2 linked regions of the Neodiprion lecontei genome follow. The protein of the gene in region 1 interacts with the protein of each later gene in a pairwise test. Links are inferred from orthologs where the notes say so. Each region holds a gene or a part of one and is shown in the gene's direction. Other genes may lie near its edges.

Region 1 (16,340 bases):
TATGACCCTTTCCCGAACAATTGTACCCCCAGGAACTCAGAAAACGCAGCGAAAAGAGCGTGGGACCAACAGGAGAGAAATGGCGAGCGAAAAAGCACCAGCTGAAAAATGTCGAAAACACAGGTTCTCGTTTTTTGGCTGTAACTTTTGATCCGTTGATAGCAGCCCATTGAGATTGCGCCCAATCGATTTCCCTCGCAGAAATACGTCGGACTAGTGCCAGAGAGAATTCATTCCAGCACTTTTCAAAATCGCGAAAATTTTCGCCAAATATACAAAGGGGTTGACCTTCCTTTTTTTTTGACCGAAAAATCTTTCGTCTCAGAATTGATTTGTATGACCCTCTCCCGACCAATTGGACCCCCAGGAACTCAGAAAACGCAGCGAAAAGAGCGTGGGACCAACAGGAGAAAAAGGGCGAGCGAAAAAGCACCGGCTGAAAACGTCGAAAACACGGGTTCTCGTTTTTTGGCTGTAACTTTTGATCCGTTGATCGCAGCCTAACGGGACTGCGCCCGATCGATTTCTCTCGCAAATTTACGTCGGACTAGTGCCAGAAAGAATTTATTCCAGCACTTTTCAAAATCGCGAAAATTTTCGCCAAAAATACAAAGGGGTTAACCTTCCTTTTTTTTTGACCGAAAAATCTTCCGTCTCAGAATTGATTTGTATGACCCTTCCCCGACCAATTGTACCCCCAGGAACACAGAAAACGCAGCGAAAAGAGCGTGGGACCAACAGGAGAGAAATGGCGAGCGAAAAAGCACCAGCTGAAAAATGTCGAATACACAGGTTCTCGTTTTTTGGCTGTAACTTTTCATCCGTTGATCGCAGCCCATTGGAACTGCGCCCAATCGATTTCTCTCGCAGAATTACGTCGGACTAGTGCCAGACAGAATTTATTCCAGCACTATTCAAAATCGCGAAAATTTTCGCCAAAATACAAAGGGGTTAACCTTCCTTTTTTTTTGACCGGAAAATCTCCCGTTGCAGAATTGATTTGTATGACCCTATCCCGACCAATTGGACCCCCAGGAACTCAGAAAACGCAGCGAAAAGAGCGTGGGATCAACAGGAGAGGAATGGCGAGCGAAAACCACCAGCTGAAAAATGTCGAAAACACAGGTTCTCGTTTTTTGGCTGTAACTTTTGATCTGTTGATCACAGCCTATTAAGACTGCGCCCAATCGATTTCTCTCGCAAAATTACGTCGGAGTAGTGCCAGAAAGAATTTATTCCAGCACTTTTCAAAATCGCGAAAATTTTCGCCAAAAATACAAAGGGGTTAACCTTCCTTTTTTTTTGACCGAAAAATCTTCCGTCTCAGAATTGATTTGTATGACCCTTTCCCGAACAATTGTACCCCCAGGAACTCAGAAAACGCAGCGAAAAGAGCGTGGGACCAACAGGAGAGAAATGGCGAGCGAAAAAGCACCAGCTGAAAAATGTCGAAAACACAGGTTCTCGTTTTTTGGCTGTAACTTTTCATCCGTTGATCGCAGCCTATTGGGACTGCGCCCAATCGATTGCTTTCGCAAAATTACGTCGGACTAGTGCCAGAAAGAATTTATTCCGGCCTTTTTCAAAATCGCGAAAATTTTCGCCAAAAATACAAAGGGGTCAACCTTCCTTTTTTTTTTGACCGAAAAATCTTCCGTCTCAGAATTGATTTTTATGACTCTTTCCCGACCAATTGCACCCACAAGAACTCAGAAAACGCAGCGAAACGAGCGTGGGACCAACAGGAGAGAAATGGCCAGCGAAAAAGCACCAGCTGAAAAATGTCGAAAACACAGGTTCTCGTTTTTTGGCTGTAACTTTTGATCCGTTGATCGCAGCCCATTGGAACTGCGCCCAATCGATTTCTCTCGCAGAATTACGTCGGACTAGTGCCAGACAGAATTTATTCCAGCACTTTTCAAAATCGCGAAAATTTTCGCCAAAATACAAAGGGGTTAACCTTCCTTTTTTTTTGACCGGAAAATCTCCCGTTGCAGAATTGATTTGTATGACCCTCTCCCGACCAATTGGACCCCCAGGAACTCAGAAAACGCAGCGAAAAGAGCATGGGATCAACAGGAGAGGAATGGCGAGCGAAAACCACCAGCTGAAAAATGTCGAAAACACAGGTTCTCGTTTTTTGGCTGTAACTTTTGATCCGTTGATCACAGCCTATTAAGACTGCGCCCAATCGATTTCTCTCGCAAAATTACGTCGGACTAGTGCCAGAAAGAATTTATTCCGGCCTTTTCCAAAATCGCGAAAATTTTCGCCAAAAATACAAAGGGGTTATAAACCTTTCTTTTTTTTTGATCGAAGAATCTTCCGTCTCAGAATTGATTTGTAAGACTCTTTCCCGACCAATTGGACCCCCAGGAACTCAGAAAACGCAGCGAAAAGAGCGTGGGACCAACAGGAGAGCAAAGACGAGCGATATTTATCATTTATTCATGATCAATACGTGATGCATACTATAAATTTTATAATTGTCTAGGAAACATACTAGATTATTCACAATAATCGGCTATAATATGACAATAAAAGAATTGTTCGTTTCGATATGGGATTTAATTCTACATGCAGTCCATATATTTCATAACATCAATATTCAGAATTAGGAGTAGGAGTAGGAGTAGGATCAGAAGTAGGAGTAGGAGTAGGAGTTAGAGTAGGAGTAGTAGTAGGTGAAGAAGTTGGAGTAGTGGGAGTTGGAGTAGGAGTTGGAGTTAACGTAGAAGTAGGAGCAGTAGAAGTAAGAGTAGTAGTAGTAGGAGTAGGGTAGGGTAGGGTAGGGTAGGGTAGGGTAGGGCAGAGGGTAGGGGGTAGGGGGTAGGGTTGCCCCCATCACCACCCCACCACAGCTTTACCCCACCACCCCATCACTCCACTACCCCAACACCCCAACAACCCATGATCACACCACCCCAACACCTCACCACCATCGCACTACCTTCAATCACCTTTGACGACCTCCGTCCTTTTTGTCGCCCTCGATCAGCCGCAAACACTTCTTACCGCCTTCAACCACCTCCAGCGACCACCGCTGACCACCTCGGGTTATGCCTTGAATAGTAATAAATATTTTCAGTATAAGAACACGTCAAAAATATTGTGTGAGGATTTATATAATTATTTATTAAATTAATAAAATAATAAATTTTATCAGCGCACTTATAGCTACTGAATTTGTGCTTGAACGAAGAAAAATTTAAATGATTTATTGTAAACATGACAAGTTTAAAAAATTTCAGATAAAATATAATCAACCTTGCTACCAAATATTATAAAAATGTTATAAAAATAAAAAACTCACCATTCATAAATCCTCGTCCTTCTCCTCCTTGTCTTCCTCCTGGTCCCGCACGATCACCCGTAACCACCTCTAACCACCTCCGACCACCTCCAACTACCGCCAACCACCTCCAACGACCACCACTGACCACCTCGGGTTATACATCGAATACTAATAAATACTTTAACTATTAGAACACATCAAAAATATTGTGTAAGGATTATTATAACTTTTGTATTGACACATTTCACCAAGAAGATTATGAGAAAATTATAAAAACTTATAGGAATTTTACTATCGCAATGATAGCCACTGAAGTTGGGCTTGCGCGAAAAATGAATTGCAATAATTTATTGTAAGCGTGACAAGATTAAAAATTTTAGTAAAATATAATTACAATTGCCATTAAATAATATAAAAATGTTTTACTCACCGAGTACAAATCCTCGTCCTCCTCTTCCTCATCCTCCTCCTCGTCCTCCTCCTCTACCACCGGCAACCCCCGCCAACTACCGCCAACGACTACCGCTAACCACCTTGGGTTATACCTTCAATATTAATAAATATTTTTCGTGAAATTTAGAACACTTGAAAATATTGTGTACTGATTAAATATAATTTTTCTATTGACACATTATACCAAGAAGATTATGAGAAACTTATCAAAAAGTAAAGAAATTTTACTTGCGCATTGACAGCTACTGAATTTGGACTTGCGCGGAGAATGAATTGAAATAATTTATTGTAAACGTGACAAGTTTACAAAATTTGAGATCAAATATAACTACAATTGCCATTAAATATTATAATAAAGTTAAACTCACCGAGCACAAATCCTCGTCCTCCTCGTCCTCCCCCTCGTCCTCTTCCGAACACTTCCAACGACCACCGCTAACGACCTTGGGTTGTACCTTGAATAGTAATAAATGTTTTCAGTATAAGAACACATCAAAAATATTGTGTAAAGATTAATATAATAAATTAAATAATCCATTGTAGAATGAATTTTATCTACGCATTTATAGCCACTGAATTTGTGCTTGCGCGAAAAATGAATTGAAATAATCTATTGTAAACGTGACAAGTTTAATAAATTTTAGATAAAATGTAATTACAATTGCAATTAAATATTATAAACATGCTAAACTCACCGAGCACAAATTCTTGTCCTTTTCGTCCACCTCTGACCACCTCCAACCACCGCCAACCACTTTGCATTATACCTTGAATAGTAATAAATATTTTCAGTATAAGAACACATAAAAACTTTGAATTGACGTATATTTTCATCATCGATGAACTAAATAACTCATAAAAAAACTTTAAATCACATTCATTTTCGTTCAGAAATTTCTTGGTAAAAATCGTTACCTTTTACGTTTGAGCTCGACAAATAATAGGATATCACGGTTTTTTGGGTCATTTTGGTACATCGATAATAGAATGATGTGCGAATTCAAAATAACTAGTTTTAAAACACTCGCTCTGTAAAGCGCGCTCGGGTTCGAATGCCCAGTGTAACTAGTTTTGTGCTCGTGCGCTCGCTGACTCGTAGTCAGTTTCTCACCAGATGACATAATTGTAGGGGAGACTGGGGCACGATGACTCCATAAAAATTCTGGTATTTGCTTCACAGTATACAGAATGAACACTGTCTTCGTGCATGTGACGCAAACCGAATCTGCCAGTTATATTTTTTCTATATAATGCTACAAATCACGTTCACACATGCATGTAAGTTTAACGCATTGTGATTCTATGACAATAAATTTCGTCAAAAAATACCACAGAACAATCATCTAAGTGCTGACAGATTTGAAATCCTACGCACAGCAATTCTAGCTCCAATTGAACTACGTTATTGTCATATATTCCTATTTATATAGTGCCAACCACTCACCAATTGCAATTTGTTGATCCTGGTCGTTGGTTTTTTTTCCGATTCAAAATGTTATCCGAAGCATACATATTGATTTGATAGTACAAAACATGACGTTTTCAATAATCAAACTTGTAGACTTGAAAATTAGTCCGTAAGGTCAGAAGTCATCAGGTCAAGGACCTGGACAGCCAGGACTACGGAACGCTTGTCCTGGAAGTAGAGTTCCTCCCGGTAGTGGACCAGGAGTGCAGGAACCCTGGAGCGTTTGTCCTCGAAGTCGAGTTTCACCAGGTAGCGGACCTGGAGCGCAGAAACCACGGAGCGCTTGTCCTAGAAGTCAATTTACACCAGGTAGTGGACCATGAGCGCAGGAACCATAGAGCGCTATGAGAAACTGGAGAACTACGGAAAATTAGTCCTGAATGTCAAAAGTCACCAGGTCAAGGACCTGAGCAGCCAGAACTACGCAGCGCTTGTCCTGGAAGTCGAGTTTCTCCAGGTAGCGGACCTTGCGCGCAGGATCCACGGATCTTTTGTCCTGGAAGTCGATTTTCACCAGGTAGCGGACCTGGAGCGCAGAAACTACGGTTCGCTTGTTCTGGAACTCGAATTGCACCAGGAAGCCGACCCGGAGCGCAGGATCCAGGAGGAAGAGAACCCGGTACTCGAAATCTGCGGAGCGCGATTCTCATCCGTCCGCTCTACTGCGCGGTTGTTTCCAGACTGAGGAAATCGGCTAGCTCATTACTATAGATCGATGACGTCAACAGAAAAAAAATTTTCAGTGACGTCACCGTCTGAACGTCCGAACATATGAACATCCAAACTTTGGTTTCGAACTTCAATACTGTGTATGATCTATGATGTATGCGATGTATGATGATGTATGATGTATGATGTACGATGATATGATATGATGTATAATGATCTTAGTTTTCACGTTTCACAGACAAGAAACACGCACTTTATCATTTCCGTCAATTCCAGACTCAAGCGGCTTGGCCCTTCGATGATTAGCCGTTGACTCAAGATATATTCTTCAGTTAACGGGTCAACTAATAACGCTGCCGTTCTACGACAGTTGGATGATAAAAATTTTTGCTCGTACCTTTCAAATTCGTGTTAAAATACACTCGAAGTTTTAAGAACCTTCGTTCTTTCTTTCCCTATAAAAATGAAATAAAAATTGCTGACAATCACCTCTTTAGGTTTTTAAATCAGGATACTGCGTTAAATACTGTCTCATGTACGGGGCATCCAATTTCATCTCGATCAAAATTAGCGCACCCGTGATGTATTAAAGTTACTCTGAATTTTTGTTCCATACGAACACTTTTCGAAAAACATTTCTGCTTCTCTACCCAACGGAGATACTTCAGTTGCGACTAGCTAAAACAGCGTTTCGATTGTATGCCTACGAAAATTAAAGATCGAGAGAGCAAATAAAAAGTTGTTGGAATAATTATGAATTGCCCAGCTGCCCACCGAAACCTGGTCACAAAAATTTACCCAGGGGTATCCGTCTATATTATCTTCAGTCAACGTTCGAACATTTATTTGGACGGCCTCGTAATTTTATGTCGTGATACCCCTGTACACGTAGCGACGCGTGCGGCCGTTGATGAAACTACCAACGCCGACGATAATACGATACCGTAGCGCTGTTGTTCCATCACTGCTATCCGTTTCCAATATCGAATATTCTAGTTTTCTATTTCTTGAATCTCGCGAAAACTTCCAACGTTATTTCTTACGTAGTGAATTAAAATGTATTTTATTTATCGATTCGAATCACGATTTGAACGAATTATTGATGTCAGTGGTTGAAGGCGACATGACTTAGAATATTTTTACTGTGTTTTTCTTTGATTATTTCAGAAAACTATAGATCAGCAAATATCTCTGTGACTTCAAATACGTACCAATTATCTCAACACCTGTGTAAATAATATTTTTTAGTGCCATATATTTACGCTACCGGATGTTTACGTGATCCGTAATCACTGTATCAGGCAGGCGTCGGAAGTTCCGGTTCAAGTTTCGGCTGTTCGCCGTTCGAGAGAGGTCGTCCTTAAAATCTTGTAAAATTACGTTTGTGGCAATAATGCTTGACTTAACAACGTATCTTGATTCGCGCTGATTTTAATCCGAGTAAAATTCCAGCGATAAATCTTGTAGCCGATGAGGGAACCTTGATCACGGTAATTGGAGAATCGGTCAGAAATGTGTCGGGTAACCTGTCATTCGAGTGATATTTGTTTTAGTTTATTGCGTATGTGTGTGACGGTGCTGAGTATTAACGGGTCTCGTCTCATTAATCGCACAATTGCGTATTGTGCGTAAATAAATATTGTGCCGTAAGTGTTTCACTCAGGTTGGATTGAAAAGGCGTCAAACAACGGGTAAAAATTTGTTTTATATTGACCTTGCCAGTGTGAGTTGCGAGAGACGGCTGCCGTGTGATAGCTGAAATATACAGAGCATTAGCAATTGTTGCAAGGCTTTTATTTTACTATTATTTCTATTCTCCTTCTACGTTGTATGTTGTAACATTCCGTTAAGGGTTTCATTCAGGTTGGATTGAAAAGGCTTCGAACAACGGGGGAAAATTCGTTTTATTTTGACCTTTTCAGTGTGAGAGCTGAAATACAGGGCATAAATAATTGTTGCAAGGCTTTCTTTTTTACTATCGTTTCTTATTTCCTTAATCGTTAAATATCTACATTGGCAAGGACACTTTTTTTTACCTCCTCTTACAGCTCCTGTCTCGAATTTTATCACAACCAATCATTCAAGGTGTGTTAATAATTTAAACAAGCAAGTGCAGCTTTGTGCTAATTATAAACTATATAATGGAGGACAGTGATGTCAAGCAGGTTGAAGAATCTGAGCCTAATAACAAATCTCAGAATGACGAAACCTCCGATCAAACAGACGAGGCAAGCGTTGGTTGTGCACATTACAAAAGAAAGTCGAAATTTGTGGTAAGTTTCATTTATTCGTACTTTCTAATTCACATGAACATATTAGTTTTCATCCAGATCCCCCAAAGCGAATAAAGTATGCTGAAAAATTTGCGCATCTGCTTTATAACTTGATATAGCAATTATTCGCCAGTACGATTTACCGTTGAAAATAATGTACTCATATTAATTAAAATGTATACACGTAACACGCGGTAGACTCTCCGTAACTTCCTATATTCTGGAGTTTTAAGCACTAAGCGCAAAGTGCGAGAAATTGTCTTGCTAGCGTCGATTAGACGAGCTTTGTTCTTTTCATAAAATACGCGATAGTTTAACCGCAGGGAATCGTATCTATATGTAGTAGCGATACTTGTAACGAGAAGCTGTCCAAACAAAAAGTTGGCACTTAAGAAGTTACGGAGAGTCCAGCATACGTGCATCTACCTACCTTATCAACGCTTAACCGACTCTCGTGCAAATATGAATTCTTGGTAATAAACACCGCTAGAGCAGCACGTGGAATATACGTGATTTCGATAGCTTTCAAATGCATACAGAGCAGGTTACCAAATGGTATTTGATCAACGACACGTCTACATTCGTCCATTGTTTACTACCTTATATGCTTTTAGAAACCTATAAGAATAACAATGCCATATCTAAAGTAAAAGACGGTAGTCATCGGTCGCTCTAGGCAAGCATGAGGCATTTTAAGATGCTTGATTCAACCGATTGGCATGCATGAGGTCGGAGTTGGTTACGTTAATTTAACGATGAATTTTCAGAAAAAAATTGTTGTATTGCAACTTTACGATTGACTGAAATTTAATAAACCGTAATAAAGCAAGATATACTTATATTTTAGAAACGTGACTTCTTCAAAGCCGTTGAAAAATTGCATAATATCAATTTTAGATCCACAATTTTTGCTAACATTAAAAACTTGAACCTCTTTGGCATTCTTGGAAGTTTAAATTTCTTATTCTTTCAAAGATATTAACTTTTAATATGAGATACATTGTATGAAACTCAATCTGTCCAGAAAAATAAATAAGAATCTTTACTTTTCAAAAATTTAATGTATGGAAAAATTATTAATTCTCGAGAGAATTGCAGATCAGTCAGCCAACCCTGAACCAGAACATTGTGCAGTTGTCACTCTATTATTCTATGAAGGCAATTATTAACCAGTGGTGCTCAAACTGCTGCAACACAATTCAATCTGTTTTGCAGCAGAGAAATACAATTTTCTCAATCCTGTAACTGTTGCAGTGAATTCACTGAAGTCACGACATCCATTTTTCTAGTATTAGCTAATCAAAATATGAAAAGTCAATGGGTTTTCCACAATCTTACGAGTTATTCTTGGTAAAAAGAACAGTACTTTTATTATATTTAGACATTGTCCATACTTGGAAATAATTACTATTTCATTTAGCCTCGTCCCTCTAGTTTGAAGCTTAAAACTCTGTGCTGTGAGTACATGTGTGAACCTTTACAGCGGATCAATAAAATATATATTTATCTCTGTTGCTGAACGTGAGTGACGGTGTACCGCGTGCTTTGTAATCTATAATCGGAAGGCATTTAGAAATAATATGGGTCTTTTTAGCTTATTAATTGAATGTAAATGAAGTTTTGTTAATTTCAATTCAGGATTATTACTTGTCCGTGCCAAATAGACTAATCCTTGATCGAGATAATAAGATAACGAATAACGATAAGTCAATTGATTTGTTTTCATTTTACAGACGCCATGCTGCAACAAGGTTTACACCTGCAGATTTTGTCACGATGAGCAAGAAGCCCATACCGTTAATAGGAAAGAAGTAACGGAGCTCATCTGTGTCCTGTGCGATACTCGCCAACCAGTGCAAGCTACTTGTCAAAAATGCAATTGCAGATTTGGAAAGTACACGTGTCTAGAATGCAACTTGTTCGACGACGAAGATAAAAATCAGTATCACTGCGATGGATGTGGGATTTGCAGGGTCGGAGGACGTGAGAGGTTCTTTCACTGTGCTAAATGCAATATGTGCTTACCGGTGCAGTTGCAGAATGGTCATAAGGTGAATAAAACAAAAATATTACACGACATGAAAAGGTTTTAGCAAAGGATCTTACTTGTTTCTTATTGATACCTCCTCATTCAATTCTGTACTGACGCAGAATACTTAAAAGTAAATATGTATTGCAAATTTTAATTACATTTCAGTGCGTTGAAAATGTTTCGCATGCAAATTGTCCGGTTTGCTTGGAAGACATTCACACAAGTAGAATTCCATGCCACATTCCTGATTGCGGACATCTGTTACACCGTACCTGCTTCGAAGAGCTTCTACATTCTGGCCACTATGCCTGTCCTACCTGCCAGGTATCCCTGCTAGACATGTCGGAACTTTGGAGATTCTTAGACAACGAAGTATCACAGACACCGATGCCTCCTGAGTACAGAGATTACAAGGCCGATATATTGTGCAAGGATTGTCACGAGGTTAGATGTTATTGATTACCTATTGCCAATTGACGATGTATGCTTTTTTTAATTGCGACAAATCTCCCGACAATCAATTTCTCCCATCTCATCAATTTAACGTTCCAGGAGTCCACTGTCAAGTTTCACGTGGTTGGCTTGAAGTGTTTAAACTGCGGAAGTTACAACACATGCAGGATCAAAGGGTCTCCGTGTCCTGGTAAATATTGAATTAACACCATCAAGTTAAAAAAAATTTAATGGAATTATTCTTACACTCGTTCGCTCCTATCAGATCCAGAATCCTTGGATGTTGCAGCTGGTGGAAGTGGTACAGGAGATGAGGAAAGTTCGCAAGACCACGATTCCCCGTAATGATATTGGGTATCAATATTTTTAGATGAAAAGATTCAACTGAAAATTTTCACGATACGGTACGTCAAATTGAAGGCCTACGTTAATTGCACTCTCAACAGTAGGGAAATGTGTGTAATGTGTGTGATTTTATTCGAATAACATTGAATGAATAATTGAATGTAACGGATATTCTGCAAGCCACATGCGGTTGTTAAGTACCTAAATTTCAAACTGTAAAATACACGTATACTCTTATGTATACTATGAACGCTTAGTCTTGCAGCTTACATAATTTAATGCCGGAAAGAGAAATGTTTATCAGATTGTAATCTAAGTCGATTTTCACGATTTGCCTTTTTTTAAAAGCAAGTGGCATAAAATCGAGGAATGCTTGAATTTACGAATAACGATTCATAACACAAAGATTCTCTAGTTTGAAAAACGTATTATTACATTTTGAAACGTACATATTTATCTTTTAGAGCAATTTTTTCAATTAGGAGGCAATTTTCGCTACTTATAATCTACTGTTATTCTATTTTTCATTGATTATCGTGCAGTGCATTTAAGATCTTTTAGAAATACGTACAATAGTAACCACCATTGCGGGTATGTATGAATACCGGAACTAAAATAGTCTAAATGCTTGCTTAGCTTTATTAGAGTTTCTCTTCAATGAATATATGCTGTAGGTAATATCTGTACTACAATTGGTATACCTATACTCAAATTATACTAAGATATGTAGAACCCTGACGAGGCATCGAGGCTTTAAGTTGAATTAGAGATTAATTTTATTAACTAAGAAAGAGCATAGAAACAAATGCTGTTAATAAAATATAATTTCGTCAAACATTTGTCCGAAAGCCGACAATATGTAAATACATATACACTACGATTAAGGCCATAAAATTAGCATGAGTAATTTTCTCATTGATACCAAAAAGACGTAGTTGTTTTCGTTAATGATATATTTTCTCTGCGTATCAAAGCGTTGAAAATGCCGTTAACTATATAAATAACGTTGTTTTGTCTTCAAAACACGTTTTGCTTAATTTTAGTAATCAATTGTTATGCATTCCCTTGGCTTGCCATTCCTAATTCGGAGCATTTGAGCTAAAATCGTGTTTCTTGTTAGTATAATTGAAGGATTTCCGTACACGTGTTATATATCAATATTTTTATTTCTCTAATGTTAGTAAATTGATTTTGAGACATTCCTTTTGGGCATAAACCTATGTTTACACATATAGGGCCAAGCTGACCAGTTATTTTGATCTTTATACAGGTCTTAATCGGTATACAAACAGTTTTTAGTTAGAAAACAAACAATCTTACTACTTTTTACATTCCAAGAAACTAGTAATAATCAAACTATTATTAGGAAATGAAGGTAGCAGCAACTGTACCTCTTAATCAAATCATTATCATGTTTGAAAACCACTATACACTGTGCGTTAAATGTTGAGGTTATTTGGCTGCCCCCGTAATGTTGTTTTCATCCAATTTATGTCACTTATCTTGCGTACAAGAGGCAGCTTGTATTTGAACTCGTTCAACTTACACACCGCAATTTGAATCACCCTCTTCTCCGCCCAGTTGGTTGTTGCATATTGTTGTCCCTTTACAAAATTTTCTTTATTTTCGAAGTGAAAAATCACCGTTTCAGTGATTGTGGAATATTGTCAGGGTAGAAAGATATTATTGTACCACAACGATTTGCCAGAGATTTATTTCTTAAATAGTGCATTTTGTATATGTATAATTGCTGTAAATAAAGATGCGTGATTGTTTATCACGCGAGAAATAAAGTGTGAAATGAGTCTTAAACACATGAGTACAGAGAGATTTATTGTAATGTAATCATGAATTTAGGTTTCTGTACTATAAAAAATTATCAATTTTATATTAGCACGCAGCGAACGTTTTTTAAATAATTAGGCTCTATTTACTTCAGTACTTGTTCAATAGAATTAAGGAAAATAATATTATCTCATTACAATAGGTTTCTCTACTTTATGCACGTAGAAATATTTGATACATGTACCGAATTGGAGACAAGTTGGGCTGCGATGGTACATGTACCTTGGAAAGATATAGTAATATTAATCGGCTGGAAAGGGTTCAATTAATTCGTTGTACCAATGATTATTGGTATCTTTATTGATCTTTTCTCCAATACATCAAGCGTATAAGCTAGGTGTCGTAACATATTGCGTGCGTTGAACTTGTCACGAATATGATCAATTAGTGTGAATTGTTTCGACGCAGTATCACTCCGTACTGAATACAGAGATTCTTAAAACAACTATTCATTATTCCACTTACTCGAAAAACGGTAGTTGATAAAATTCGTAGATATCGTGTATTCGATAATTTGTGTATGTGTGCGTATATTTGTTAGAAACTTTGACATGTGATTTTAAAAACTGAATAAAATGTAGTACTTTGTTCTTACTACTGCAAATTCCACCTCACACTTGCATTACGGATATCCCATGGCTGTTTATCTCATCGGTTTTAACCCTCGCAAATGTAGGTCCGTAAATGTGCTATTTCTGTAAGATCGAAATTTGCTGCTTCAACGTCGGTGATAAAGGCATTTACTATTGTTTCTTTGAGCCGGACAAATTTTGATTTTATTTGATCGGTAGAGAAATGATCCGAAGAACTGCTAAACAAGGTACCTGATGTTTACAAAACCGGTTTCTTTTATTTTGTAATTTGTTGAACAAAGAAAATGAACAAAGAAGATGAATAGGGCCTTTCTCAAAAAATCTTTGTCTCAGATTTGTTTTGTATGATCCTGGCTGGACTGAGCGGACCCCCAGAAACTCAGAAAACGCACCAAAAATGCACCACTATCGTTTTTAGGCTGTAACTTTCGAACCGTTGCTTGCAGCGTTTTTGAAACTTGCCTCGTCGATACCTCGCGCAAAATTACGTCAATGGAGTGTTCGGATGAAGTCATTCCAGCGTTTTTCAAATCGGTAAAATCTCAGATGAAGAACTCCAAAAGCCCCTCCTCGTTTCTATCGGTGTGTGGATTTTCACGCACTTCCAATTGAATCTTTCAATCACTTAATTGTTTGCCGCGTCACAGGAATGTTCCCAAGCGTCGTATGACGTTGTATTTGAGATTTCTGGAGCTACTCGATTTTCGTAACATCAACAGTTATTACGCCAAATTTACTCCTTCGATCGGCCTTTGAATTCCTTCAAGCAACTCGAACGCGATAACGAAAACATCGTGAGATCGAATCAATAACATTCTTTTGTTCGTCTTATGTTATTAGTATATTTCGAGTTTGAACCATTAAGCAACAATTGTGGTACTCCTTTTCCTTCCGAGGTATGAAGTATTGATTGTAGCATTTCAGTTGTTACGATTAATCTATTTACTAATTGCGATCACAGCTCTTGAAAACGCAGCATAATTCTTCGATAATATTTCTGATCCGTATAACAGAACGTTGATAGTTTCACTATCATATCGGATTATTCCAATTCACAGATAGGACGATTCAAAACTTTCAACAGCATCACTGCTATAAATACCTTAATCTGATTTCGTAAATCTCACGTCTGTCAACGTAAATCAAAGTATATTCCATTCTAGATCAATATTAATACATGATTGATACGTATAATATAAAAAATAGTCATAAATTCTCTCGGATAATAAATGGTTCAAAACTCTAAATTAGTTAAATTTATTGCTCAAACAGCCAGCCGCGTGTCACAATAATTCCTACGTCCGCTACAAAATATAGTCACAAAAAATTTCTCCGTTGTGTAAACAAAAATATTTCACGTTATTCACAATCAGAAGTATCGTAGTCACAGGTTATAAATTTATACGACAGTTTCGATCAACAGAGTACGTGAAAATTCGAAAACCACAAAACCTGGTGTTTTTCAGCGTAAGTATATTAATAAAATTATTTGACGAACCGACTGTAAAAAACAATCGAGTCCTTCAAAGCTTTAAGTGGAATCGACGGATCAGCTGCAACTCTCTTTATTTTACTTTTTATTTCTACGAGTAAATCACTCGGAGAACTTATCGCAATATTTTAAGCTGTAGTTCTGTAAATTTAAATTAATATTGAGCAGGATTTCGAGTGAAAAATGATTCTTATATCCGGATACCGGATAATTCATCTCGGAGCCAAACATCATTTTTAACCCTGCAGGCGGCAAGGTGTGCAAGGAAATTTACTTATGTATTCAACGCTCTACACAAGCCTGGCAATCTTATAATAATTGTCTAAAATTAGCTGCGTGGTCCGAGAAGCTGAGCCCACACACCGAATGACGCACGTAGCAATAATTGTATTCGTTTAATTAATACCAAGAAATCATTTGTTCCACATCCCCCTGTCAGTTCACCTGTCAATTAATATTACTTTGCGCATAATCACAACGACGCGGAGCTTGAGAAATTGATTCTGCCATCCGCATAAATTTGCGTTATATGATTCGGCCTGCCCGGGTCTCCGACCTCGTCCGTAATTATATTAATTTGGATTAATTGTAATTGTTCACTTTCAAATCTAGTCTCTAGATTGATACAGATATCAATGCATTACGCAGAACTGTATTTATTGAAGTAAATTGTTTGAGCCGAAACTTTGAGCGGAATAATGTTAGCCGACGATAACTAACGAATAATCAATTTCCGATATCCGAATACGTATTTCGGTTGCGAAAAAAAGTATCACATTTACAGTGCTCCTCGTTATCCTTGATTCGTTCCTTCAGCTTCAAGGTTCCATGGTGTAATGGTTAGCACTCTGGACTCTGAATCCAGCGATCCGAGTTCAAATCTCGGTGGGACCTGATTTTTTTTTTTCTTATCTCACGGTTCTTTTTTTACGTACTATGCGCGAACAGATGAATCAGGTATGTTTATAGTAATGTAAATCTTTATTAAATATAAATATAGAGTAAGGTATATTATTATAGGTACATGATATTTGCGATGCTACTTACCCACCTAGTTTTTGGTAATAATACAGTTAGTCGCTAAAATAATGTCTAACTCAGTCAACGGGTATCAAATTCACTCACCAGATAGTCAAGTTCGATGCATGTAAACCCTGTGCCTATGGGCGATTCCTTAAAAATTTGACACACTTTACAGTATCTGCTGTATAAATTGATCACGCAGTGTTGTGCAGCCAAGCCGAGGCAGTTTAGAACCAAATGCATCGAACGATTAGAGGCCATTTAAAGTATGCTGGAATTACGAAGATGTCAATCCCCCACACCGCACACATGAAATCACAGTTAATGGTTCTCTACACGACTCTGTGAATGATATTTTCAAACCAATAATTGAACTTGAATAGCGACCGACAGGAAAAC
Region 2 (16,371 bases), on another chromosome or scaffold:
TACGTAATTTCTGGACAATTGCAAATCGAAACTGAAAAACCAAAATATATCTTGGCCCTTTTCTTTCGGCCGCTGCATTATTTACACCTTTATAATCGTTAAAATCGTATAATTATTCAGCTAAACAGCGAATTGCTCTACTATCCACGGTTGTTATCTCATCGTCAGAATTCTCAAGGGCAAAGTCGTGCTGAAATTTTTCACTCGGATGTGTCGTAAGTCGCCCGCAATTTTTCGCATAATGTGAATAAAGAGACATCCACGTACATTCGGGCGTACACGAGCGTATTAGCTGATTCCGAATGTCTGGTAAGTGTAAGTTTCTAATTACCCAGCTTGGAACAATCTCGTGTAATTAGTGAGGCATGACTGGTTCGTATTTCAGGTCCTGTAATCTACGGTAGCAGTTCTTATCTGAGTGCGACGATTCCGCCTGAAATATCGTCTCGCTTTCGGCATACATATACTATAGAGAGCTCTCCGATGCATAGTTGTTTCTTGTGAGTGCCGAGGAGTATGAGGAGTAGGATATCGTCGCCGCTGTAGCCGAGTTGGCTCCAATTTCTGAGCTAGAGTTCGTTTTGGTTCGGTTGATCGCGGACTGCGTGGAAGGACGGCTTCGCTATGACGGACAGTAAGGTCAGTTCGGTACGTACACGCGGCGTTGCGTATTACAATAGCGTTACATAAAAATATGTACCCACCCGTCGGATTATATTACGTGCATAGACATATCGCGGAGAATATTTATGAACCTTATTTTTCAATGAAACTTCTTTATATTTTATCTATGCAACGTATGAAGCTGAAGCTATATAGCAGCCAAATGTATCATACTCTTTGAAAATAGAAAAATGTAGTTCAGTTTTATCCTCATAATTCTATAAAAATATTGAGGGTTCAATGTGTTGCACAAAATTTTAATTTTCCGACTTCGCTGCATTATTCAAACGAACGTTTGAAAGTTTGGCTCCTAATTCTGACTGCTAGCTTCAGCCTCCTGTGCTACGTCAGGATCGCGCAGCGGTATTTTATAGCAGTATAGAGAATTATACCTTGACACGAGTGAACTTTGCACACAGCTTTAACTTTTATATGCAGACGTCCGTTCAATAGTATTCCAGTGATAGTATATTTATACCCCATAATTATTGGTATTGGCGGAGTTTAATTTTAAAATCGGCATTGTCCTTCGGGTCTCGGTTCTTTTTTTTTCTTTCAAGTAATCAGTGATACGGGATTGCTGGTGAAACCCGGGAATTTATTTGTGATAGTTGTAGAAATTTAACGAGATCGAAATTTCGTAGTGATGGCAAAATGGTGATGGTGATCTACAAGGAAAAGCAACGATCTTATAACTTTAGAATGACTTTTAATTATGTTAGTTGGCAAAATATGCGTACATTGTCTTGCTCAAGAAAGAGCTAGAACTCACAGCAAATAAAACTAACAATAAATTGGACAGTGCAAGTCAGGATGCTCAGAGAGAGAGAGAGAGAGAGAGAGAGAGAGAGAGAGAGAGAGAGAGAGAGAGAGAGAGAGAGAGAGAGAGAGAGAGAGAGAGAGAGAGAGAGAGAGAGAGAGAGAGAGAGAGAGAGAGAGAGAGAGAGTTCGTCGAAGGGCAGGTCATTGCACCTTCTGAAACATAATATTACGTATAGTTACTAATTTCGAACAGTGAATCAATGGATAACCTAATATTTATTCCAAAGATTTCAAACATTAACTCACTTCTGTCATCTTTTATAATCCTGATTGTTCTTACCGATAATTTCATAAAATGTATTATACATACGTAAAAGGTAGAAATTTGAGAAGCCGGATTTTTTTTGCTTGTTTCCGTATATACCTTAAAAATGAAAAAATGCATAATTTCAAACTTTATTCTTCGAGTTTTTTTTTTATCTTCAACTAAAATTAGATTTATAATTTCTATATTTTACATACAGTAAGTGCGTTAAAAATATCGTACCAAGTTCTGTATATTAGATAACATTACACTTGTATCTTCACATAATCACAAGCTGTGGGGTCTGTAATTACGTTATTTCAACGTGGTACCTATACAATATTGCAGCCAGAGCTGTAACATAGTTGTTGCACAAACTTGTAGCTTGCCGCATACACGCGACACATATGTTACATGTATTACGCAATGTGAGAAGGTCATTGTAAAACCTGTATCCATTCATGTTACGTCAGATGCGTCGAAAATTTCTGTTGAATATCGCAAGTCTTTGGAAGTTTACAGATATTGAGACAGAGATGTAGGCTAATGGCATCGTTTAGTCCAAGTATTTAGACAAACAAATTTCGTTTTTCTTCAAACATTATTTCGACCAAATCTTCGTCGTATCGTATCGATCATATCATAATGACGATGGATTACACGTCCAACATTCGTCTGTTAGTTGATTAATGGAAATCCTGAGATTTGTCACATTATATCAACGTAGATTCGATTGTTTTAGAAGACTGAGGATTCGTCGTTATCATAATTATCATTGAATCAATGACTACTGGCATGATATTTTTTCATGGCTTTATAGACACGCTTTTGTATTTTCATAGTGGAAACAACGCGGGAAACAAACGTGCTATGGGCTTACCCATGCTTCGATTTTGGGAGTATACGTATTCACGATATCTTATGCGATACTGCACCTTCATTTTCCTAAGAGAAATCCAGCCCCAGAATTCGACCCTGGCCAATTGAAGTTTCTCACCTTTTGGAACTTGGTGAGTTTCAATTCCGTACATTATAACAAAAAGTTATTTTACTCTCGTAAAAGTCGTTTCAACGGCTTGTCGAATAAGTAACAGAATGAATATCACTGATGGCGTTGTCGTTCCTAAGTATAAAAAAATATGGTATCGCAGAAGGCTAATTTTAAATTAGAAATGTATTTTCAACGATACGTCTTAAGTCATAATTATTTATTGCGGTCTGTGTAATTGTGTAATCAGTTACTGAATTCCCAATACGGGCTGTTATCTGCAAAACGGGCTTCGACCACCAATTGAATAGTGCCTAGAGTTATTCGCATCTCAGGCTGTTTATTTTGCAACTGAAAATTTAGTCTATCGCCCCAAAATTATCCGAAATCTATAATAAAATGAAAAAAAAGCACGGCAGACATTACAATGATGTGCTGTTTTTTCTGCTGTGGGTGAATTGCACATTATCAATGCTTGGAATGTTCCTCGAATTATTACGTAACTTTATGGTATCGGTTAAGCAATGAGCAGTTAAATAAGATAGATAGATTTCACCGGGGTCAAGTAGTATCTTGAATTGTTTGATTACTCGTTATCTTTCCCGTTTTCTCTCACACCGTGTGTAAACGGAATGATTTCATACGCTAATACTATATAATTAACGCTTATCCTGTCACATAGTTTTCAGTATACGTTTACTGTCACATGGGGTGTTTCGTTTCCTACTCTTATTTTGGCTATTTTAATTGCTCAGAAAATTCTGAGGAAATTCATGCATGTTCTTTGAGATGTCTAATTGAAGATCCAATAGTTTGATCACTTAATTATTCATTTGGGAGAAAACAGCGGGCCTTCTAGTTTACAAAATATACACATAACAAGAAATCACGCGAGCACGAAAGACCCTATGTGACAGGGTAAAGGTTAAAAATGGAACTAACAATTTCCATATAAATATCTAAAGAGATATATCCTTGGTTTGAGAAATAATTTATATTTATGTTTGTTCTGGTCTTTAAATAAACTTGCATATCCAGTGGATTAAAATTTTTAAATAACTCCATACAACCTTGACTCAATGCAACCTGTTACGATTTTCTATTATACCCGGGTAATAATATTGCAAACATGACAAGCTATATTGCATTTGTTGAAAGTGCGAGTTGAAAATAAAATTAATACTTTTATTCTTAATAAAAGCTGTACTTGGAATTACGTGTAAACAATAATCGTAGTAGAAGTTGCAAAGTATATATATAGTCATAGTGTTCTTTACGTGTTTCAAAAAAGTCTTCACCTACAGCAACTTTAGTCGACCTTCAATCGCATAACGTCCAATTACTCAAATTGATGTAATTCAATTCTACAATGCATGGGTGGATCAAAACTTATGACTCCAACGAATCATCATTAAACTTTGACCGAGACAACGAGATCGCAACCCTTAAAATTTGATGCGAATTACGAACAGTTTATTCATCACACAGATTTTCTGTTATTAACCGAACCGATTAATCCGTGTATATATTTTTCCATTCAAAAATTAACAACATTCCTTCCGAATGCAGCTAATAACGATAATTCTTAACAAAGTTTGAAGTGACGTAGATATATTTTACTTATGTTGGATGTTTTCTCGATCTTATCATCAATGTAGGTTCAGGGTTCTCGGTGTCAAACGAAAAGTCAAAGGATTTTGACGCTTCTGTCCCTCCTTAGAAAAGACTTTAATGTTTATTCATGTGTTAGTAATCAAATATAGTACACAGAAGCCATATAACGTAGATAAAAAGAGAGAACCTACAATCAAATACTAGTGGACCTCATATAAGAGGTGAGCTTTCGCAAGGAAGACAGCCGAAACAAACCGCAACAGCGATGTACATTAAGTTTTACAATTACATAGCGCTAGTAATATTTGCAAAATGGATCCTCGACCTGACGAGGAGAACTCACCAACTGTAACCCATGGGCTTGTACGAGATTTCGCAGAATGAAAGAGTAATGAAAATAAACGAACATGTATTCTAGTTTATCCGTAAACACTCGACCGTCTCCCAAGAAAATAACGATTAAAGTCACGACACTGCTTCATGAATCTGCTCGTTACGACTTTGAGTCTTTGCGCTTCGTGTTCAAGTACCGACCAATTTGCTTTTTCCATTTCTTCGTCGAGGTATGCTTAACGAATGTTCCTTCCTTATTTTATTGATGAATACAAGGGCGCTATATTGAAATGACAACTTATCATTCCAAAGCAACTGTCCGTTATTCCGAAATACGCCACAGGGTATTAGGTTTAAAAGTAATAGGAAATAACAGACTCGTGAAGCAACGTCGAAACTTTAAACATTAATTTCTCGGAAATGATCGAATGTTTACGAACAAGCCGAAACACGTGTTCATTTATTTTTATTACTCTTTCATTCTGCGAAGTCTCGTGCAGATCCGTGGATCAGGGGTGGATTGGCGGGTTCTTCTCATGAGTCCGTTGCACGTCATCATCTGAATGGTGACAATGGTTACATTAATATCCGACTTTTCGTCAAATAACAGTTGATTTCTAAAAAATAACGAAGCCGGAGGAACCCGATAAAACCATGTAAATAGTCTGTGAGCCTTGGTAAGATTTTAAATTCGGGGAGGTGTGGATTGCATTGAATCTCGCGATGTGGAAGTTGACGTGAGGGGAAGCGGTTAGCGTGTAACGCAGCGATTTTCGTTTCCTTATTTTTTCTCCGTCTCCAAGACAGATCACCGAAAAGATATGTAAACAAAGTTCTTGTCGTTAGAAAAGTCCGTGGAAACCGGAAAAATCCAAATCCTCTTCCGTCGTAAGTCAGACCCTATGAAAAGTCAGAAACTATGCTTATCCCGTTCCCGATGTTCAATTTACGAGCTCAAAGACACTCTCCGTATCTCGCGTCTAATTTCAAGCGATTCCCAAATCAACAATGCGTCGCGAGGCTGCAGCGGAGTGCGTCAAACGCAAAGATCATGTAAATACTCCGCATACACGTGCCGCGTCCGACTCCCGTTGAAGCGCGCGTGCGTTCGCTTCGCAGCGGGTTGAGTTGTAGTTCGACTTTCCCGTTCTCTCATCCATCCAGTCTCTCTCTGTATGTGCATACATTCAGTGCGGAGCTGGCCATCGTCAGCAGTCGTGCGCCGTGCGAGTCACTTTCGTCTTGGGTAAATATTTCGAGGTTATACAACACTGCGGGACTCAGCACGGAGTCGGAAATCTAGCACACCTAGTAAATTGGTGAATTAGACTCTTACCGACCGAACCTCCGTGCGTATTTCGATATCTGTATACTACTATTCGTGACATTCCAAGTTCAAGGTATACATGCCATACGTATTATGTGTATTTGGTCTCGGAAAACGATTCGAACTTCGAGTATTGATAGATTCGATCGTCGAATGAACGGTACAGTTATATTCATTTCGCATCGATATTTCGTAGTTTGAGATCATGAAACGTATTCCGAGATCTTTGGATATGTTTTGACTCGGTAGTCACGTTCACACGTGGAGATTTATAACCTTTTCGGCAGGCTGTAATTTTGCCATCGGCGACCTAAATTTCACGTATTGGAAAAGAATTCGCGGGTATATTGTAGCAGAGACACTGATTTGACATACCGTTTTGTACAGGTCGTTTCAATGGTTCCTGTAGCGGTAGGCACGATCTTGATCTTGATAATAACAATTTAATATCACTAACTTATATACCGATAGATTCATGAAGTTGAATTATTCATTGGAATCAACGTCACTTTGCCGTCATATACATATCATCATATGTAGATCTATTATCACGGTTCAAACTTCGAGTCTGTTATAATAAACAGTTTACGAATAAATTACGAGGTCGGGATTATAAAGTTCAAAACAATCAATCTTGAGGCAAATTTTATTGGTCTGATAACGGAGTACTTTTTAATTTACTTCACGATTTAATTAATGCTTCTCTTAATATATTTGCACATTCGGTTTTGATTGATTGTTGGTGCATCAAATCATTGCAATATAATTTATATAAATCGCCTCGATCTGTGATGTATGATAGAGTTGATCGCCAGTTGAACGCGGGTCAAAGAAGAGAATAAAAATACAGCAACCTCCTATTTTATATCGCTGTCTTGTTTACAGTCAACTCGTGCCTCTTTACTCGTTGAAATTTTCTTGTGCACGCTCGATTCTCGCTCTGTAATTATAATCTGTTGAAAGTTCGAACCTGCACGGGTGTACAAAATTTTCGGTATTATTTCGGTGGAGGAAACAGAGACTGTGATATTTACAGGCCATTAGACGAATCTGAGATCACAAAAATGGACGCTACGGGAGTCAGGAACAAAAAGCGGGACACCCTGCTGAGAGGAATGCACGCGATTGCCTTCGCGCAATTCTCATTCGCGGTCTATTACGATCACACCTATACAGTCGTCCCTCGACATATCGCCAGGATGCATGATGCCTACGGCGGCAGATTTAAATTTCTTACATTCTGGAACGCGGTTTGTATTTTTCACAATTGAATTTCATAATATCCCTTACCCCGTTCACTTTGAAATGAACACATTAAATCAAAATGCCTTTATTTGAGTAAAGAAATGCTGTTCCGACAATTTTGAGATGTTTCGGACATGTTTCAGAAATTGAGTTTTTTTTTTCTTCGAAATGTGCGTTTTTCTCACAATGTGAGAATAATGTTACTAAATGAATAGAGTTAATCGATTTGTCAGCAAATTTGAGCCCTATTTTATATACTTCTCAATTATTTAATATGCAGTATATACACTACAGTGTACGAAAACGCAAATAGTTAACAACGTACAATCAATAAATTATGAAGCTAAAACTAGCAGCCAAACGTGCTAAACATTGTGGAAACAGAAAAATGCATTTCGGTTTTATCTTAATAATTCTACAAAAGTATTGGACGTTCAAGGCATTTGACAAAATTTTGATTTTAGGACTTCGCTACCTTATTCAAATGAACATTAGAACATTTGGCTGCTAATTTTGGCTGCTTAGTTTCAGCCTCGCAATAAATTGACTAGAGATATTCAGTTTTTATTCGTTGGTCGCTTCACTTTTTTTTGTAAGAGGAAAAAAAAACTTGACGCTATTAGAAGGCTTGTTTGTTGCACATTACAGTGAAAGGTAGCCGCTTGTCTGGAAGGAACATGAATTATGTTATGGTGTAACGGAATGTTCTTTGCGTTATGTAACTACAAGTTTTGAAATTCTTCCATCCGGGATACGGCATACATATTTGAAAATATAATTAAATTATCATCTCTTAATCGGTTTGCATAGAAACTGCATGATCTAATTCCACGAACAGGTCGCACGGAAATTTGATAATAACGAGATATATAATCTACCCGAAATCAAGACTCGAATAATACACGAATCTTTGGTTGATTATATATATATTTTATGTATATTTAATGGTATATAAGTTTTGCCAGTTTTTATGTACTGCTTTTTTGCGGTCACGCTGCAGGTTTTCACTGCCTGCTAGCAGCTGATGGTGATAAAAATTACCGGCGTTCCACACCTTGCTTCGCGGTTTATTGGGAATCTGTCAACAAAATTTTGGAAACTCCCAATTTATTCCGCGCGAATAGCTGCGGGGTTATGAAGCCTGTGTACGGGTCAAGTACAAATTGGATAACGACGCAAAATCAATTACCCGTTGTTCACTGAGTTTCAGCTCTTTATAGCGTGCAGTTCGCGATTTATTATTATACTATAACTTTATTTACAAATATTTTATTTGAATCGAATTTGCCTGCTGGAAATATATCCATGCTGTAACTTATCTTTTTTATATACTATATATTAGGGTGGGCCAAAAAAATCGACTATTTTTTTTCCACTTTGTACTCCGAAAACTTGGTTGGTAGAGACCTCAAAAACAGTCTCTCCAAGTATGAGCTTTTAATTTTAATAGGAAGGTCCTTCGCCTCGCAGTTTTCTATTTTTTTCTTATGGTGAGGAAGAAAAATACATATCTCGGTATCTACTATTTACAAAAAAAAAATGTATATTATATTTTCGTAGGAAATTAAATTCTCTACAAAAAAGGTCTCTTACAATTTTTTTGTATACCTCACTGTTCAGAAGTTATTGAAGGTTAAAGTTTGATCATTTTAAGGTAGATGTCTTTTTTTTTATGAATTTTATAACTCTTCAACAAAACGTCATTATAATACGAGCAACTCATGTTTTCATAGGAAATTGAATTCTCTACAAAAAACGTCTCTTACAATTTTTTTGTATACCTCACTGTTCAGAAGATATTCACCGTCAAACTTCAATACACACTATTTTTACAAATTTGTTTAAAACTGTGAATGTTTGTTAGAAACCAGGAGGCAATTATCCTTTGAATACTGCTTAATTGATATGCCACTTGGCAATGATCATAAAAGTTATAATAAACATATAAAGTTATCATAAATTCAAAGGTTTATACTATATCTGCACTATGATTTTGTCTTGCAATCGATTCAAGTTAATTTTAGGACATCGAAATTATTTGCATCGAAAACTGATATTAGCAAGTCAGGTAGGAAACAAGTATCGAGATATTAAAAACGATCTCATACAATTAGGACTTGTAATATTTAATTGTATTTTAATGACATCGGTTCTATTCTTCTGATCGGAATTGAGTGATATGGGTATAGTAATAAGAACCTACTAGTATTTGGTCTTACACGTTTCACGCTTAGGGTTTGTGAAATTGATATTCTTTGACAGCTACAGGCAGTGATAGTAAAATCACTCGTGTTGTAATTGTGAAGGAAGAACGCGGTTTTGCAATTACTATTTCAGTATGCAATAAAAGCGTTGCATTACCGAATACTTCTTTCACATATATTATGCACAAGTTTTATAAGTTTTCCTGAGACTTCTTCCTGACATTACACGGACACACGAAAGCCAGTTTTACTTCGCGTGCATCGAATTACTTGTTTCTTACAACTCGACTATCATCATCTTACTTGTACATCATACTCGGAAAGTCCATATATACATAGATATATGTATATACATACGTGTAGACAACTTGGGCGGTGAACTGCGGTAAATTATAAAACTGATTATAAGTAATTGAAAAATTGAAGAAGTCGCCTTTTCAAGCTGTATAGGGATATACACGTTTGTGTATCACATTGATAAAAGCATGCCCGCCTCTCCAGGCGCGTGCTCAACTCGATTCAGTAAACGTAATGGGGAAGTAATCTTTCTATCACAGACCGCGCGTCATTTTATTGTAGTTGGACAATACCAGCTTATCAAATTTTGATTCGATTGATATCACGATATATATTGACAAAACGTTCATCCTGATATGTTATACTATATGATCCTAATCCGAGATATTTTGGCAAATTTGAAAACACCGAATTATACATTGCTCTTTGTAGTTAATTTCTGTAACAATCATTCTCTGCGCCCATTGCAATTATTTCAATTTATATATCACATCCAGCTAAACTAGTATACTTAGTTATCCAAGTTCATATTATAGTACTAACCGCACTCTGGTAATTTAATCACGCGTTACTTGACCGCGGCAGGAAATGCACTCGGGTTTCTATTCCAGGCGGGGGCGGTTGAGAACCACATCCTAAATTACAACATTGATATATGATAACCGACATCATTTAAGATGTGCTTGATTCTTTAATTCCTGGCACTCATTATTTATAAAATACATTAATTTACTTGGAAACTTTAGATGTTCATAGGGTAAATAAATCAATATAGTTCAACTTTGTCAAACTTATTTGTTTCTTTAATTTTCTCGGGGATATTAGGTGAATAATCCGTTGTTATTCAATTGATTAAACTCTGTCGATAGAGATCCCTAATACATATATATGTTCGTTGCAAATAAAACTTCATGTTATTAGACATCTCTGTAAATAAACTGGAAGAAGTTGAAAAGCGAATCAGACCCTTCAGTCGAATCTTATCTTTGAATTGAAAAATGATTAGACATAACTAAAAATATTTGAATGTAACCTTGTCGCCGAAAAATGCATTTCAGCTAACTTTAGGCGATGCATTTTCGAAATCGATTTACAAGAAACTTTTCTGATAAAATGTAATTTGAATGTATATTCCAAGATATTTAGTACTCTGAAATATGCCCCTCTAAATATATACGTCTCATTTACAAATCTCATGGAAACCTACTGTTTATGTGCATACTGTCATAATATCGTAGGCGCGTAAGTAATACTGTACCGTATTACATACAATTTGAAGGAAGTTGTGCTCCAACTATACGTGCCATCACGGGTTGATTTTATATCAGATTACTGATAAATCTGCCGACATTCGTTAAAAAAAATAACCAAGTTTTCGATTCGCAGATTTTACAAGCCGTTTTCTTTTTCGTGTGCCTGCTAAACGATTTTGGTGGAAGCAATGAGTTGAGTCCGGCAAAACGGCCAATTTTGCGCCGTGTTAAAGACTTTATTCACGCCAGTTTTGGATTCCCAGTTGCAATGGTGAGTATAATATTCAAAGTTTTCAGCTTATTATTGAGACTAAAAATTTAAATTAACGTCATTTCCTCCTCAAGAATTTTTCTTGCTGTATACCAAATAGTTAACGTTTAATCCGAGCTTGCCATGATCAGTATATGGATAGTGTTATATGTACAACTGGCCATGTGAGCTGTTTGCTAAAAGAGTATAGAGCAGCAGTTACTGGTATGAATTAGATAAATAATTTTCATGTGATGAGATTACTTTTTGCACATGTCTTGCCACAATACATGAAGTACCAAGTTGAACTTATAGGCTTTTGTTTCATTTCATGTATTTCTTCAGTTTGTCGGTGTGACTTTCTGGGCACTCATGTTCGTGGACCGTGAGCTGGTACTACCAGCTGCTGTAGATCCTTATTTTCCTTGGTGGTTAAATCATCTGATGCACACTCTAATCATGGTCACTACTGTTCTTGAAATGATTGTCGCTCCCCGTCAGTATCCTAAACGATTATCTGGTCTTGGAGGCCTACTTATATTTATGGCTTCCTACTTAGTGTGGTACGTCACAGCATAAATAATTGCATTATTTAGAGGAAAAGAGTTTTATGATGTTTTAATGATGAATTATTTCTGCAGGTTGCTTATTATTTATGCAAAGAGCGAAATCTGGGTATATCCTGTCATGGAGGTGCTGTCGTGGCCACAGCGGGTTGGTTTTTTCGTTGTACTTTTCCTATTTACTGCAATTCTGTACATCTTGGGAGAGTACTTGGATCGGCTCATCTGGGGTAACGCTCTATCTCATCCCTGCAAATCTCATTTCAAGTAGCCTTCACAGGAAATGTCAGGAAACTATGCATACTCTTCAATGGCGGTGATTACACATTTGTGCTTTGAATGCACGTCTGCATGTTTAGGAACACGTTCAAAGTTGTCTAAGTTTTGATTTCAAAACTAGTACATTTTATCGATGAACATCTAATCTATGCGTTTTTGTGTTGGAAAATTGAAATTTAATTTTGCAATTCGATAAGTGCGTGTAAAGTGGTCCGAATTTACATGACCAAGGTTTGACCCTAACGCCCGCCGAATTGGTCGCCGATTTATTTCCTACTCCTACTCCACCAAATGCATATTTTCAAGGGGATGTATATTTGATGGAGTAGAAGTAACCTCACTGAAAGTCAGGTCAGGTCCAACGTCACTAACATTTTACAAAACGACTAAATCAGTTCATTTTCAGTTATCAATATATGTTTTAAACATGTATTAATCTTTTACGTTTAAATTAAATTTTGAAGAACCAAATTTATATAAGTGAATTGAATAACTTTGAATAACCTTTTCAAGTTTACTGAACCCATTGTACTTGATTGTATACTTCCAGACTTTTCCTTGGGCTGCTTGATCTAAAATGGTCGTTTTATTGCATTCAAATGAATGTTCCCGTTGCTAATATTAACATTTGTGAAAAAATAACATTTTCCCATACTCTAACTTCTCTCTACTTACAAAACTTCAGTAATTGCAATCTGATATTTTTCAGGACGGGCTAAGAAATCTGTAGGTAAGAGTGCCAAGAAGAAGAAATCAAAATGAAGGGTCAATCTGTTGGTATTATATAGTTTCATTGCTATTACCAATGCATAAATTGTTATATATTTTTGTTTAATTTTTGATCCATATCATTAAAAGATTTTTCATTGTCCTTTCCGCATTTTTCGTAACAGTGCATTTGTTATTACTGTAACATGTCATCACGTTTACGCCGTGATGTAAAATTCAGCATATAAGAATCGTTGATAATTGTTATCTAAGCAATAACGATAAATATAGTTATTATATAGGACAGTTATTGCAGCAATCAGATCTGATCATGAAGCAATTTGTTACATTTTGTAAAAATAAATGGAGATTGTTAAATTGATGAATGAGCTATTTCATAGTACGTCGAGTTTTGTTTGATTGTGAGATCTAGTAAGAATTGTAGTACTTCGTTTACTTACTCGAAAAGGAACAAGAACGTTGTTGCCTTAAAGTATTTTAATGTTTACTAAAATGTGTTCATTAATAATGTTTACATTCATTTCTTGTGCGATAGTGCTTTAATCGTAGTACGGCTTACTTATCTGTGGTTTTACTGTAAATTACTATCCATAGAAAGTGAAAATGTACGTATTTTTTAGCTTCAAGCAATATGATTTCAGATGCATCAAAATATTGCATTGTACAATAGGAACTGTATTCATCTCGAACATTTTACACTGGCTCATTTTAGATAACACTATACTCGAGCAATTCATTGTTTCGAATTGTGAGACATTGAGTAATATAATACACAATGGGATGGGTGGTTTTTTTGCACTTTATTATTGTAAACGGAAAAAATTGAACATGACATTATGATAGTAGCCATGCTATGTATAATAAAACTTAATACTTAAAAAAGCTGATATACTGATTACCTGTACAAGAATTGGAGTCAATCTATAACACAATTATCTATCGAAAACAATATTGATCTCGGATACTTGTTCCGAACAAAGTACGATCAATATTGCTCCAACAAGTTGGAACGTTATGCACTCAGTCAGTCTTGATTTGAGAATAAAAAAAATGTTAAATATGTAAAAAGAATTTGTTTGCCTCCATATTTTGCCAACTTCTGGCATGCATCTTAAATCATACCTTAATTAAATGTCAACAAGATTATGTAAAATGGCGTACGTGGATGCTCGTAATAGATAGCTTACATGAAAGTTGAAAAAAGTAAATTAAGGGCACATCATGATACTATAAATTATAACGAAATATAAGAAGTGTTGAGTACGTACAATTAAATCATCTGATTTCAGATGAATAAATTGTGACGGTTAGTTGTATAATGTTCAGTAATCATGCTTATTGAGTATCACAATTATTTGCTTTACAAAGTTGGTCAATTTCTCGAAATACATTTCCCGACATTGAACAGAGTTAAAATATACTTATTACTTAGCTGGATTTATTTTTTATCCTAATATAATGTTATTACGTTAAAAGAGTTACGTTAAAAGAAGTATAGATCTCAACAGTACTCGGCTTTACCTGAAACATAGCTTAGATTTGTTGAACACGCAAGTACGTATGTTGACTCCACACTACCTGACACTAAACCGGCTTAAAACACATTTCAATTTTCATGTATGACTAAACAACTCTACCTGATGTCAGAAGATTTACGATTAGCTGTTTTGTTGAGTTGTGGGGAAATCTGTGTCCCTTTAGAGCTACAATTTCTACTGTTAATTATTTCATCAATACTTTGCTTTAATTCCTCCATCTCTAAAATATCAAGAGGGAGAGAAGTTTGTGTAGCCATCTCTCTGGCATTGGATTGAATGTTTGCATCATCACTTTGACGCTTTGTTAACTTCGTTTTCGAATCGTCAGATTGTATGAGTCGAGAGAGCTCCGGACAGAAAGATGTCAAACTCGATACCAGGTCACCTTTTCTGTACATATCTTTGAGCTCTACTTCCATGTCTTTTACTTTCAGTTCTTTACGTCGACCACTACTGTCATGAATATAGCTCTTTGTACTATTGTTACTTGACTTACTTTTACTTCGCTCGGGAGGTTCTTCAACAGATATCATTTTCGTATTTTCTTCAGCATGGCTATCTTCGCTCTCACTGTCCTGCTCTTCTTTATCCACATTGCAGGCTTCCACATCGATGTCTTTACGTGGATTAATACGCGAACCTTTCTCTTCACTGCTCAAGTTTTCGTCACTCTCACTTTGTCCTGGGAATAAAAACGGCAATATCATGCCTGCGTTTTTACCATCTAGCATTTTTGAATTTATGGCTTGCCCATCCAGGCCAGCACTGGCAGATCTTCTTTTCATGTTTGGCATTTGTAAGGGCGGAATGTTGGGATTCCCTCCAATAGTCAAAGCTGAAAGAATCTGGGCTCCCAGTTCGCTCTCCTGTGATGTTGTACTACCTCTTCGAAAAAGTGGTTTAACTTTTCCAGATCTTGTCTTGTTGAAATCGCGCCTCCTACGTTTTCCTCGCCTGCTACGAGAATTACCAGGTAACGTAGTGGAAGCTACTTTTCTAGTTGTCTTAAGTTCTGCTATTTGTACAGAGATTTGGGAATCCAATGAATTTCTTCGGGACTCTACAGACACACGACGAACGCTAAAACTAATTTCTGAGTCAACGGAATTCCGTCGGTTGCTCGATACAGATCCTGTTGTTACACCAACTAAAGCACCCCTTCTTGTCACCAGCTTTGGTAATGCAGCTGCCCACGTTGAACTGAAGTCTTGAGAGGCTACTGAATTTAGTTCAAAATTTAGACCAACTGGATCTTCATGTGTGTTGTGGAAGCTTATAGATAATCGTCCAGCATTTTTAAATGTATTTCTCTTTTCATAGGCTTGAGCAATTGCTTTGTACTTTTTTGGTATAATTTGTTCTTCTGCCTCACAGTTGAAAGTTCTGTAATGATGAACAGATTCGAAGTAAGTAAATCAATATTCTTACGTAATCTGTGAAAGTGCATACTGGTGAAGAATTCTCAAGAACTCTTGTCATTCATTCGAAATGAATTTACTTTATCAACCTTCAACATAAAACTTAGTATTTGCACAATATCAATTTACTTATAGCTGCCATGTCTTGGGGAATTTGTTCTCACCGTCTAAGAAATCTTTTCCAGGTATCCACAGTTGATCCCGTCCAAACCCAAGAAGACATTAAAACACCAGCAAAGAATGGCGATAATAAATGTAATTGAAGCTTGGCCGCGCTGGGTCTTGATGTCATTTTACATTCTGATACTCCTGCAGTATATTTCGTTGTAATAGTGCAGCTAAGCATAAAATTGGTATTCATTTAAAAAATTATACATTTACTATTGTCCAGTATTTTGTAGCAATATAGTGATAGTGGTCATACAAAAGTACTCTTTAAAAACAATTATTAACAAAAAATTCACAATAATTATGCATAACCAAACGCTTACATCATATAATCTCGGAAGCTTTGTTTCCATTCCCACGAGTGTTGGAATTCATGGATGTGACAATAAAATGTTACTATTACTGCCACAAAGGTAAATATCGAAAATAATCCCAA

The links.
Region 2: the proteins of RING finger and CHY zinc finger domain-containing protein 1 (region 1) and androgen-induced gene 1 protein interact in binary tests that used the Homo sapiens proteins (3 or more experiments, as listed by UniProt). The link is inferred for Neodiprion lecontei from reciprocal best matches to the Homo sapiens genes RCHY1 and AIG1.

Annotation. Positions count from the first base shown.
Region 1 is NC_060264.1:7,537,696-7,554,035, reverse strand, and holds RING finger and CHY zinc finger domain-containing protein 1, read left to right. Parts: upstream 1-7,141; 5' UTR 7,142-7,375; exon of another isoform or gene 7,376-7,576; intron 7,577-7,933; 5' UTR 7,934-8,026; coding exon 8,027-8,158; intron 8,159-9,891; coding exon 9,892-10,209; intron 10,210-10,355; coding exon 10,356-10,634; intron 10,635-10,742; coding exon 10,743-10,833; intron 10,834-10,908; coding exon 10,909-10,988; 3' UTR 10,989-13,447; downstream 13,448-16,340. UniProt on the Homo sapiens protein: E3 ubiquitin-protein ligase that mediates ubiquitination of target proteins, including p53/TP53, TP73, HDAC1 and CDKN1B. Mediates ubiquitination and degradation of p53/TP53; preferentially acts on tetrameric p53/TP53.
Region 2 is NC_060260.1:28,849,127-28,865,497, forward strand, and holds androgen-induced gene 1 protein, read left to right. Parts: upstream 1-5,762; 5' UTR 5,763-5,839; coding exon 5,840-5,910; exon of another isoform or gene 5,911-6,064; intron 6,065-7,027; coding exon 7,028-7,241; intron 7,242-11,123; coding exon 11,124-11,261; intron 11,262-11,585; coding exon 11,586-11,803; intron 11,804-11,881; coding exon 11,882-12,033; coding exon of another isoform or gene 12,034-12,074; exon of another isoform or gene 12,075-12,119; intron 12,120-12,791; coding exon 12,792-12,844; 3' UTR 12,845-12,953; downstream 12,954-16,371. Other genes in the region: protein smoothened, read right to left, coding at 14,445-15,732, 15,932-16,105, 16,259-16,371. UniProt on the Homo sapiens protein: Hydrolyzes bioactive fatty-acid esters of hydroxy-fatty acids (FAHFAs), but not other major classes of lipids. Show a preference for FAHFAs with branching distal from the carboxylate head group of the lipids.